Callithrix jacchus: one gene and its partners. The protein of the gene in region 2 interacts with the protein of the main gene of each other region in a pairwise test. Links are inferred from orthologs where the notes say so. Each region holds a gene or a part of one and is shown on either strand. Other genes may lie near its edges. The genes, in order: LTO1, YAE1 and CEP126.

Region 1 (4,407 bases), on a different chromosome or scaffold from region 2:
TGACATGATGGGTCTGGAAGTACCTGTTGAGCACTGGGCAATGGAAATTAGGACACGAGGTCATCAGTGGGGCAGCCGGCCTCCCGGATGCCTGAGTCCAGGGATAAAAGCCAATGTTACCTGCCTCACCAGCTCTCTCTTCTCTCGAACATCACGAAGACACACAAGCATCCCTATGGAGACGTCTGTGCCCACAGTCAGGTGACAGCACTACCTTGGAGGCAGATTCTCCAACCCAAGTCCAGCCTTCAGGTGATGTGGCTCTGGCTGACACCCTGAGACAGCACCACCCAGCAAAGCTGCTCCTGAGTTCCCAGCCCTCAGAAACAATGTGAGGTAATCAATATTTGCTGTGTTAAGCCCACATATTTTGTGGTGATCTGTTTCGAAGCATCAAACATCCAATATACTCATAACTGCCTCAACTCAGACTTTGCCACTAAGGACCACTTATCTGTAAATAAGGTCCAATCTAGGACAAAGACAAGAAAAGAAAAAAATATCATGAAGTCAATGAAATTTCAAAGCAAACATATATGGAAGATTTTCACATGACAGAGGGCACCCATTCTTTGGACAGTGATTCAGCTGGCTGAGTGTATGAGCCAGCACCATGACACTCCCAAGTAAACTAAGGAGACCAGGGATTTGCTTTCTCTTAACCAGCCTGCATAATATAATTAAGTCTACACAGCAAAATGCATTCTTGGTTCTGTACTAAGAATACTACCCCAACAGAACATGTAGTCAATTACCTTCCACACAAATGCACTGGGATTTTTTTTTTTTTGAGATGGAGTTTCACTCTTGTCGCCCAGGCTGCAGTGCAATGGTACAATCTCCGCTCACTGCAACCTCCATCTCCGAGGTTCAAGCAATTATCATACTTCAGCCTCCCAAGTAACTGGGATTACAGGCATGAGCCACCACACCCAGCTAATTTTGTATTTTTAGTAGAGACGGAGTTTCACCATGTTGGCCAGGCTGGTCTCGAACTCCTGACCTCAAGGTGATCCACCCACCTCAGCCTCCCAAAGTGCCGAGATTACAGGCATGAGTCAGGTACTGTGATTTTAAAAGGCCCGACATTCTTACTCCATCACACTGAATATTGAAATAAATTATAAACTGTAAATGAAGAGGCTTCATCTCCAAAAGGGGGTTCCCACTTACCTCAGACCCGATTTTGGCTCCATGCAGCGTGCCATGCTGCCTTCCCTCCACCACACCCAAACTACTGCCTTCTTCATAGCCTTCCCGATACCCTTCCCCGTGAAACCTGTGAAGGAGAAGCATGCTTCATCAAATCAACAGGAGAAAGAATACTTATTCCAGACAAACTGTTTTTCTATATATTACCCAGACCCAGTAAGACAAAGTCAGAGTAAAATAGGAAAAGCATAAAATTCAAGTCAGAAGACACATATTCCAGTGCCAGCTCTACCCCTTCCTGAGTCTCCTCTCACAAGTCACTGTACCTCCTGTAGCTGTTTCTTCATCTACAACAAAGGGCTTAATTAGTGAATCCCAAACCTGATAGAATACTAGAAACACACAAGGAAAATTCAAATTAACTCGAAAGCCTCACCCCCAGAGATTCAGTAAGGCTGGAGACAGGGTCTCTGCTGCCCTGCCAGGAGTGCAGGGGTACGATCACAGCTCACTATAGCCTCAAACTCCTGGGCTCAAGCAATCCTCCAGCTCTGGCGTCTCAAAAGTCTTGGGATTACAGGTGTGAGCCACCGCACCTGGCCACGAATCTACTTTTCAGTCTCCTGAGTCTGATTTGCAGCCAGAGTGAGGTAGCCAACGTTTTGTGAGTGGACAAGTATCACGAGCCCAGGCCAACCACTTCCAAAACCCTGCAACATTCACAGGGTTTTACAACACATCACTGGACAACAGCGAGACATGCCATCCAGTCACCACAAATGTACTACGTCCGACCCTGAGGACCAACAGTGGGACTAACGCTATCTTAACCTGCAGTCACCAAAGATGCAAGGAGTGGGCTGCAGCACCCCATGAAGCAGAGTGCACAGCTCCCCACTTATTAGAAAGCGACGGTGCCTCCTCCTCTGTAAATTCTGACGAATAATAGGATCCATTTACCGAGTAGGGCTGAAACGGATAAGCAGGGTGGAACGTTTAGCTGTGTCTGACCCACAGCGCGAGCTAAATAAACGTCAGCGACTGACTGCTAAACGTTCCGTGGCTTTCTGAACTAACATTTATGGGCGTGTTCTGTGGGCCGGGCACTGGAAGTCAGCCAGGAGGCACCTCACAGCTCCCCCACTGTCGCAGCACGAGGGGCTCCCCAAGGGCTCTGGAGGGAAAGGGGTGGGGTCGGGCACATCTATCAGCACATCCATGAATACTGCCGTATGTCCTAAGACCGAGGAACAAGAAAAAGAGGCAGTTCCCAGATGGCAAAGGTCTGTCCTTCCAGAGGACGGGGCGGCCCCGGAGGAGGGTAACCACAGACCGAGCAGATGCTCAGGGAAGCCCGGACAGGGGAGGCGGGTCTGGAAGAGCAGCTGGGCACGTGTCCCGCCGGAGCTGGCGAGGAGAGGAGGAGGAGGACCAGAGCATCTCGACCCACACTTGTCCCAGCGTCCACGGCCACCAGACGCTCCCCCAATGCGCACGCCCGCGGGACGCCAGGCTCCAGCAGCCGCCCTGGACCACAGCCGGCGGCGAATCCACTGGGGGAGACCAGAAAGAGCGGAGTGTGGGCCCGAACTCGCCACCCACCTCTCATCCGCCATCACGATGGCGTCGAATATGTCCTGACTCCCAGCCATTGCGGCAACCAGCCCGCCCCTGACCGCCGGGCTTCTGCAGCCCTTCGGTGCCTTAGCAAACCCGCCAAGTTCAGGCACAAACGCTCTACTTGGGAGGAGACGACGTCCACTTCCGGAAGCAGCGGCGCGGGGCACGCCGGGTAAGAACGGCACGCGGGAGGGTCCAGAAGCAGCCGGCTCGGGGCACACAAGCGGCTGCGGAGGTGGGAGGAGCCGGGCTCGGGCGAAGCCCCGCCCTGGGGCCCCTTCGCCCCGCCCCGCTCCCGCCAAGGGCCTGTCTGTCCGCACTGGGAGCGTCCATTGGCCGCGCGCGGGGGGAACCGACCTGTATTTTACCACCACAGATGGAACCGAATTTCTCAAAGTGGCTCCGAAAAAAAACCAAGAAAGAAATGAGAAGTCATCACCTGGGTGGCTCACTTCTCTAATCCCAGCACTTTGGGAGGCCGAGGAGGGCGGATCACAAGTACAGGAGTTCGAGGCCAGCCTGTCCAACATGGTGAACCCCGCCCCCCCCCCCCCCCCCGTCTCTATTAAAAATACAAAAATTAGCTGGGCGTGGTGGAGGGCGCCTGTAATCCCAGCTACAACGGAGGCTGGGGCAGGAGAGTTGCTTCAACCCGGGAAGCCGAGGTTGCAGTGAGTTGAAACCACACCACTGCATTCCAGCCTGGGTGACAGAGCGAGATTCCATCTCAAAAAAAAAAAAAAAAAAAATCTAGGTGGAACATTCAGATGAGTATGAAGATGCTCTTTTAACACGTACAAGCCATGAAGGAATTCTCCATCAGCAAAACCAACGTTTTGCCATGTGAAAATGCAAACTTGCGTGTACCAACAGTGATAATAAGCAAAATTTAAAGTTAAACAATATGGGGAAATCTTTGTCATAAACATTGTAACTAAAGGAATAATATTTCTGGTAAAGGTTTATTTAAATGGATAAGAAATAAATGCATCATAAAGGGGGCAAAAACAGACTTGAAACGTTATTCACAGAGAACATCATCTGGCCAGGAGGGAAAAGCAGACACAGCCTTCCTAGTAACCAAAGCAATGCTAAGAAAGAACAATGAGATGCATTGTTTCCCTTTTAAAATAGTTTAAGTTCTTTTTCTCCTTTTTCAGAATTAAAAGATTTATTGCGCAGAGGTGCATAAATTTAAGGTACCTCTTGGCCAGGCAGTTCAAAAACATAGGAAGGGCATTTTAGATGTTTTTTTTTGCTGGCTGGGTATGGTGGCGGCTCATGCCCAGCACTGTGGGAGGCCGAGGTGGGCAGATCACCTGAGGTCAGGAGTTCCAGATCAGCCTGGCCAATACAGTGAAACTTTGTCTCTACTAAACACAAAAATTAGCCAGGTGTGGTGGCATGCACCTATAGTCCCAGCTATTCTGGAGGCTGAGGCAACAGAATCGCTTGCACCCGGGAGATGGAGGTTGCAGTGAGCTGAGATCATGGCACTGTACTCCAGCCTGGGTGACAGAACATGACTCTGCCTCAAAGAATAAAATAAAATAAAATAAAACAAAACAAAATAAAATAAAATAAATCTTCTTTTATCTCTTGACCTAGTCATTTCACTTCTAAGACTTCATCTCT
Region 2 (4,435 bases):
CAAACACTTTCCACAGATGCCGTAAGATAACACTCTCTGGGTTTGTCATTGGCCACAGATAAATCCTAGTTAAATTTTATAGGTATCTTAGTATTATGATTTTGATAAAAACAGAAGATTGGTCATTTCTTTTAGTTTGAAGTGAACTGTGACTTGCTTGTATATTGCAGGGTTCAGTCTAGATTGTCATTAAATCAGAGACTACATTCAGAACATAAAAGCGCTAGTTATATAAGTTTGAAATATGATTTAAGCACTGTTGATGATGGTTTAAATAGTTCTCTAATTTTTGAACTATTGTGCCAAGCAGTAAGATGTATGTATATTTATTTAATAATAACCTGTTTCAAGTCAGATTTGAAAATTTACATTTCCCAAGTATTGCATTATTGGGGTGTTAAAGATTATTTTAGAGAAAAATATTTCTTATTTGATATAATTTTTCTTAGCTTCACTGTGTGAAAAAAGGAAGATATTTCCCATAATGGGAACTCTGATCATTGTCTTAAGAAATATGTATGTCAGTGACAATTCTGTGTTCTTTTCAGAAATATATTCCAAAATTTCCTCGTATTTTTAGGTTGCAACTAATAAAAACTACCTTATATTAATTTATTACAGTTTACGACACATGCTAATACAGGATATGCTAGTGACTTAGGAAGTTTTTAAGTCCATGGTATTGTCTTGATTCCAATAAAGGCTGACTTTCTCTTGTATTTTTTATTTACTATGGGTTACATTTTTTTTATTTTTCAAATTGGATGATAATTTCCTGAATTTTTTTTTAATGTTTTAGTAAACAGCATTTCTTTTTAGATCCATCAATTGAACTTTCTGTTGATAATTTAAAATCTTGGCCATTCATTTAAGATTTTATATCATTCTTGCTGAACTTCTTGCTGTGACTTGCTTGTATATTGCAGGGTTCAGTCTAGATTGTCATTAAATCAGAGTCTACATTCAGAACATAAAAACACCAGGTATATAAGTTTGAAATATAAGTTTGAAATAATTAAAAAAATTTTTCTTTTTGGATGTGAAGGTGAACATTCCTGACTTTTGTCTCATGTGGAAAATCCTTGGTATTTTACATTTTGAAAATTCTCAGAAGCTTAATATAAAACAAAGTTTGCATTCTACTCAGGAAAAAGCATCTTCTTGTATATATTTTAAATATATCTTTGTCCTCATATACAGAAAGTTCTTAATTGATTTTACAGTTTGTAATGCTTGATGTTTTAAAATCATTAACATTTTCATAATTTTTAAGAGACAAACTTCATGTTCTCCTGTTCTTTCCTGACTGCTAATATTGTGTGGTATTTCATAGGTAGAAATCAACAGGAGGGAACACTTAGTGTACTTTTACTCATTAAAAAGCTAGAATACATATAGTTTTGACTTTACAAGAAGGAGAAAAATCATAAATACAATGAATCAACTGACCGTTATGTAGTGGACAATGTCCCCTTCTTTTTAGGCTCTGTTGCTATATGAATCCATTAGACTTACAGTAGTAAAATGTACAAGTTTTCTCTAAAGCCCTCTCCTTTAGAATATAAAATATACCACTGAAGAGTTTGGATGTGTAACTTGTAATGCCTTAGAAAAATATCCTAAGCACAAAATAAACTCTTCTAACGGCTTCAAAAGACTAAAAAAAAAAAAAAAAAAAACCAAAAACTCAGTGTTAGCAATGTCTTCACAAAATGAATATATGGAAAAATACATATCTGGGCTCTTGCCAACTGATTGGAATGGTGTGGGTGGGTGAGGAGACATGGGAAAGCAGAGAGAGAAAATCGTTTAAAAAAAAAGGAAGATAAGTCTGGTTTCAGTAATTTTGCTTAATCCCTAAATTCAACTAACCTGCAAAAGCTCTGTGGGTAGTGATTTCATTCTGCATCCCTTATGGTGGCCACAGCGCTCAGAAGATGCTCAATACTTACTAGGGTAGCCCCAACCTCACATAAAGCATTTTTGTAACTGACCACTTGGTTTTTGAGCTAAGCAAATAATACTTTACTGAAATATTAAACCAGCGCAGATACCCAACTGCAGCGTTAGCGGCAATTTAATGGTTGGCAAATATATTAAGTGGATGTGGACCTCACCATTTGGTCCTCATTCAGAACTCGGTTCTGAAGTCTGCTCACAGAAATTAAGCTTAGTTTCAATGAATAGTGAGACAAACTAGAGATGAAAAAGTTACATCTAACAAATAAAGAAGAAATCAACTTTAATATTCCCTTATCTAGACACCAGTATTCCACATTAGCTTTCCCTTATTGCCCTCTGACAGCACTCTTAAGTTCATCTTTTCAGTATGTCTCGATTAATACCACTCCTTAACTTCAGGCTCCCGATCCATTCAAGCAATTAATATAAACTGCCTACACATCCTTTGACAGCCATAATTAGTAGAGTCAGTGTATGTTTCCCCCCAACTCCTTTCCCTGTGATCCTCAACAAATTGCACTGTTTAAAGTCCAGATACAGTAAAATTTAGTCGGTCCTCAGCTTCTAAGCACCCCGTAGGCGCTCAAAGAACGCGTCCTGTTGTTTCGTACACTTTCAAGTAACCATTGAGAAATCCTAGCAAGACGCGGGTTGGACCGCGTTCCTACGGATAAAGAGCGGAGCGCCGGGCCACGCTGGTGCCCTTCTGGACCCAGCTTCTTGACAACTCCGCGCCTCTTTCCACAACCCAGCACCCCGCGCCGTCCACCCACGTTTACTTTGACTCGTCTCTGCATGTGACTCTGCCATTCCCGCTGCACCAGGAGCGATTCATCTGCTTCCTCGTCAAACACGTCCCCTTCGTCTCCAGGGCCACGGACCGAGGATGCCGCTTGAACCCACGACATCACCGAGGCAATTACGGTGTTACAGGTCACCGGAAGCGCCGACAACTCCTTCCGGTCCGAAGGCGGGGCGAAGACAGCAAATCGGAGCTCGGGAGGGGGCTGCGCGTGCGCGGGGGCGGGCTGTGGCGGGTGGACGCAGCCCCAACCTTCGCTTGCGGTGATTTTGAGCGAAGTCATTGATGTGCACCTGTCGGTTGTGAGCGAGGCGGACTTCCTCGCGTGGCCGGCACGACCTTCACCTTTGCAGAAGGCAGCCAGGACCCTCAGTGAAACACCTTCCATTTCCACCGTAGTCTCTACCATGGTCTGGATTTTACACACGCGCACATTGGTAAATTGTTAAAAGCAGTAAAGTCGATGGGCGGTTATCGCCCAAAGTCGTTATCTCTGTTGGAATCTCCTCTGCATTTAAAGGGTTTGACAAACCGACATTTTTAACTGTTAGGCTTGTGGAGCAAAGGATAATAGAATCGAAAAGTCAGATACTGCAGCCAATTTGAGATCAGTAAGAAAGAGAGAGTACGTTTGTAAAGCCAAGGCGTTTTTTTCACTGATGCACAGTATCCTTCTGCCTCCCATTTCTATTCATACGCCCCAAGGTAGACTGTTGATTTGGTAAGGGTGGGGACTTGTGTCAACACCAGCACGGTTCTGACACATAGTAGATGCTGATCTCGATCTTGGTAAATGAATAAACTCCTGTAGTATTCCTGTTTTGCCCATTGCCTAAGTGAAATGAGTCATGTGATAATGATTTAGTTATCTAACAATTTCTTGAACACCTACCTTGTGTCAAGCACCATTCTAGGCTTTCGGATACATCAGTGAACAGACAGAAGTTCCTAACCATTTTTGACTTTATAGTTATGTAAAATTGACAGGTTAAACAATAAGCAATATGTAAGTAACATAAGGTTTGTTAGATCATAAATAAATGCTATGGCTCAAGCCTGTAACCCCAGCACTTTGGGAGGCCGAGGCGGGTGGATCACGAGGTCAACAGATCGAGACCATCCTGGTCAATATGATGAAACCCCGTCTCTACTAAAAATACAAAAAATTAGCTGGGCATGGTGGCGCGTGCCTGTAATCTCAGCTACTCGGGAGGCTGAGGCAGGAGAATTGCCTGAACCCAGGAGGCGGAGGTTGCGGTGAGCCGAGATAGCGCCATTGCACTCCAGCCTGGGTAACAAGAGCGAAAACTCTGTCTCAAAAAAAAAAAAAAAAAAATAAGTGCTATGAAAAAAATTTAAAAATAAGTAAAGTAAGAACCATGAGTGTATGGGAGTGGGTTTTTGGTTCACGTTACAATATTAAATCTCCAGAGAGAATTTGTCATTCCACAAATAAAAAGGATATAAACTATAAATATGTATATTTTATTAATGTAAATATATTAAGATATGTATATATCTTAATTAGGAACAAAATGGTAGTAAGTAATAAAGATGACAATGAATAAAATAGAAGACCTCAAAACTTACATAAATAAGTCCAATTCTTTTTTGTATTATTTGAAAATACCAATGAGATAGATAATCCTGTCGTGGCCCTGATTTTTAAAG
Region 3 (3,649 bases), on a different chromosome or scaffold from region 2:
TATCTCTCTTTTTTCCACTCCTTTGCATTCATCTTCCTCCCCATGTTTGCCTCCAACTTATTTAGCTTTTCCCTCTCCAGTTTCTCCTGCTACTTCTTCCTTTATGATTTCCTCTTCCTTTCCCCCTATTCTTCATTCTCCCTCTGTTTCTACCTCCCCATCTCCTTTTATTCCTATCCACCCCTTCAATCCTCCTCACTGGGGGAAGAAAGTAGAGAAGAGAAGAGAAGAAAGTGGAGTAGAGAAGAAAGGAATAGAGAAGAAAAAGTTGAGAGACAACAACTTTAAAGGTAAATAATTTGAGTTTACTAGATATTTTGTAGATATAGCAATATTTTGTTTGGGAAGGGTGACTGAGGGGGAAGGATTATGTAAGAGTAGAAAAGTATAAAAGGAAGAGACAGAAACATATCCTCAATGTTCAGGAACTTGTATCACATACCTTCTTGCTCTCCCTCATTAATGTGTGATCACATCGAGATAGTTAAGAATCTAGTAATCATTGAGCTTGACTACTCCAGTCTGTCCAAATAAAGATATATATGGATATTGGAGATAGTTAATAGGTATATGTCACATGTGGCCATTGTCAACTTCCAAAACATTTTTATCCTCATTGAAGTGGGAATAATTTAATTGAATTAGGAATAAATGCTCTTGGGATTCACACTGCCAGACCCAGTGCATCAGCATTCAGCTATATAATAGTCTCATCCCCATCCTATTCTCCCCCAAAAATTTTCTTTAGTTCTTTGCTTTCACTTTGTATATATACTGAAGTGTAACATGCTATAGGTTTGCAGAAGATACAAAATTCTAATGGAAGATGAGGTCATGCACTGAAAATATTTAGGTGGCCCTTTAGCACAGTAAAGGTAGACTCTATATGAAAGGTACACTTCTATGGCATAAAAACCATCCTGAAACAACTTAAAATAAGTGAGTACATGGCCTCCATTGAGGAAGATCCAGGTTCCCAAAGCTAGATAAATAGGGTGAAAATTCCTGTGGACCCTGATAGGCAGTTTTTATATTTTCTATCTGCTTGAATCTTCAGCCAACATTATTAGGGTTATAGATTTTTTCCTAACTTACCATCCATCACATCATCTCAGAAAGAATGGTAATGCAGCGTATTATTATCCATATAGGAATGCTCTTAAAGAACTGAGGACTAACTCTATGCAGAAATTACTTCTACTCTTATCCCAGATGAGAGAGGGATAGGTTATAATAATCAAAACCATGAATTACTAGGCATTTCTATATGAAGGTGTTCTTTATTGGCACTTTAGTCTCACAACTATTTTTATTCTACTATTGATTGCCTTAAATTCTCATTCTAACTTGTCTTTATTTCTCCAATATCCTTATATGTGATTATCTGGACAAACACACATATTACACAAATGTGTCATGTATATACATATAAAAAGAAGTTAACTTTATTTAAATGTACTAAGCACTTTTTATGTCTGTTTGACAGAGCGATAGATTCTGCCTTGCCTTCATCATTATCAGAAAATGATCACAAGCATCAGAAACAACTCCTATCAAAAACCAATTGTGATAAACAAATGAATGAAAACATGAAGGCAACTTTGGCTACTAACAAAAATGTGTTCCAGCTTAAACTGGAGGAAACTCAGAAACTCCTAGAAGATCAGCATCTAAGCAGTTTGCAAGTATGAAACTATAAAGACCTTATTAATATTTTAATTCCTAGTACTAATTCTGCTCCACTTTTGTAGTGTTCTCCACTAAAGAAATATGTTACTGAGAATAGGCCATGAAAGAGAGTGTGGATGTATCAGCACAAATTCATCATAGAAACTATAGAAATAATTTTTTAGTTTTTTCCTTACCTTTGAAAATACAATGTAATGTATTATTGTTAGAGGCTGTATTATAAAAAGCAACCAGAAAATTATAATACATGTAGATATTAGTTTCTTAATGGAAATATGGCAGAATTCACTAGAAATGATACTTGTAGTCTGTCTCTAGTAGGGCATATACTTTGTTAACAGTTTTTTCCACAAATGAATATAGATTTCAACTGATATTCCTACATGTCCATCCATGAACTTTATTACCTGGGGAATTTAAATAATAACAATATATGGACCCCATCCAAGTATTAAATCGGCATGACCCAGGTATAGATATTTTACATAGTTCTTTATGTAATTTCAACATGTAGCCAGAGTTAAAAACCTTACTACAGTTCACGAAATTAAGTTTTATAAAAAGATGTAACTTCTACTAACAGGAAGCTCACTTTAGGATCACAGAGCTTTTAGGCTCTGTGAATGTTTCAGGAAAAAATACAATTTATAATTAATTTTTTTCAGAATTTCACTTGCTATTACTAAGCTTTCAAGAAACTTCATACTCTAAATGGAATGGCAATAACAAAATTATTTTATAAGTTATAACTGTGGCTAGAATAAGTGGGTATTACTTTAGGAGTTGAAGTCAAAGCAAGCATACTTTACTATAAGTCTTTGTTACCGCCCTGTTTTTTACCTTGAGGATTGATGCAGGGATAAGAATTACTTATATACCTACAATGTTTATAGTCATATTACTCTATATGCAAGGAGAATTGGGCTCAGTAACAATGGTATGTTGAATCATTGATATTGGCATTTGAAAGTTTATAAACTATAAAACAATGTTGTTGTTTTTTCAGAAATTTTGTGATGAAGTTAATCAGATAACCAATTCTGAAACCCTCTCAAGTATAGACAGTCTTGAGGCTACAGAACATGAAGAAATATATTTAACACTTAATAAGGAACATTCCACATCCATCCAGCGGAATATCATTTCCCTCAAATCAGCAGATCCTCAATCAACTAATCTAAGCTGCTTTGATGAAGATAAACTGGCATTCTCTAAAGCTCAACATATAAATAATTGGCTTACAAATTTAGATGCTTCAAATACTCAGAATGTCACACCTTTCTCAGATAATTTAAGTAAATCTAATGTTCTGCCTTCATGGGAATGTTTTAATAGTAAAGAAAAAAATCCATCTCCTTTGACTGCAACAGTGGAAAAAGCCACAAATACTGCTAATAATTCAGTAGGCTTTGTATCTACCCCACCCATATTTGTACTAGATAAAAAAAGTGAAAAGGCCTCTGAAACTAGCACTATAAGGACAACTGACACCACGTCTGGAGCATTCAAAAGAGAGAGGCCATTAGTTACTGAGAGCCCAACCTTTAAATTTAGCAAATACCGGAGCACTTTGGATTCTCTAACCCAGGAAGTGACTACATTTCCAGATCAAGAAAAATATTCTGAATTAAATCAAGAAAATGGAACTACTTCAATTCCTACTTCGTGTGTATCACTGGCAATGCCTTTAGTTTTGCCATCTAATACACAGTCAGCTAGACCTCTAGCAAAGAACAGTATACACATAAAAGAAATTGATGCAGTGCAGTGTTCTGATAAGTTAGATGAATTGAAAGATGGTAAAGAAGAAAACATAAAATATTTTAATTGTCATAAGGGAGAGTTGCCTTTATTTTCAGACAGTTTTCAAGATGCCTATATACCTCACAATCCCAATTCAAAAGATGAAAAACAAAAATTAGCTGAAACATCATCCTTGCCAAATGTAACTTCTAAATAT

Evidence for each region.
Region 1: the proteins of YAE1 (region 2) and LTO1 interact in binary tests that used the Homo sapiens proteins (3 or more experiments, as listed by UniProt). The link is inferred for Callithrix jacchus from reciprocal best matches to the Homo sapiens genes YAE1 and LTO1.
Region 3: the proteins of YAE1 (region 2) and CEP126 interact in a two-hybrid assay, tested with the Homo sapiens proteins (2 studies listed by BioGRID and IntAct). The link is inferred for Callithrix jacchus from reciprocal best matches to the Homo sapiens genes YAE1 and CEP126.

What each region holds. Positions count from the first base shown.
Region 1 is NC_133511.1:126,594,337-126,598,743, forward strand, and holds the start of LTO1 (protein LTO1 homolog), read right to left. Parts: upstream 2,919-4,407; 5' UTR 2,805-2,918; coding exon 2,603-2,804; intron 1,280-2,602; coding exon 1,174-1,279; intron 1-1,173. UniProt on the Homo sapiens protein: The complex LTO1:YAE1 functions as a target specific adapter that probably recruits apo-ABCE1 to the cytosolic iron-sulfur protein assembly (CIA) complex machinery. May be required for biogenesis of the large ribosomal subunit and initiation of translation.
Region 2 is NC_133512.1:8,032,536-8,036,970, reverse strand, and holds the start of YAE1 (protein YAE1 homolog), read right to left. Parts: upstream 2,886-4,435; 5' UTR 2,871-2,885; coding exon 2,736-2,870; exon of another isoform or gene 1-2,735. UniProt on the Homo sapiens protein: The complex LTO1:YAE1 functions as a target specific adapter that probably recruits apo-ABCE1 to the cytosolic iron-sulfur protein assembly (CIA) complex machinery. May be required for biogenesis of the large ribosomal subunit and initiation of translation.
Region 3 is NC_133511.1:37,717,914-37,721,562, reverse strand, and holds part of CEP126 (centrosomal protein of 126 kDa), read left to right. Parts: intron 1-1,486; coding exon 1,487-1,685; intron 1,686-2,695; coding exon 2,696-3,649. UniProt on the Homo sapiens protein: Participates in cytokinesis. Necessary for microtubules and mitotic spindle organization. Involved in primary cilium formation.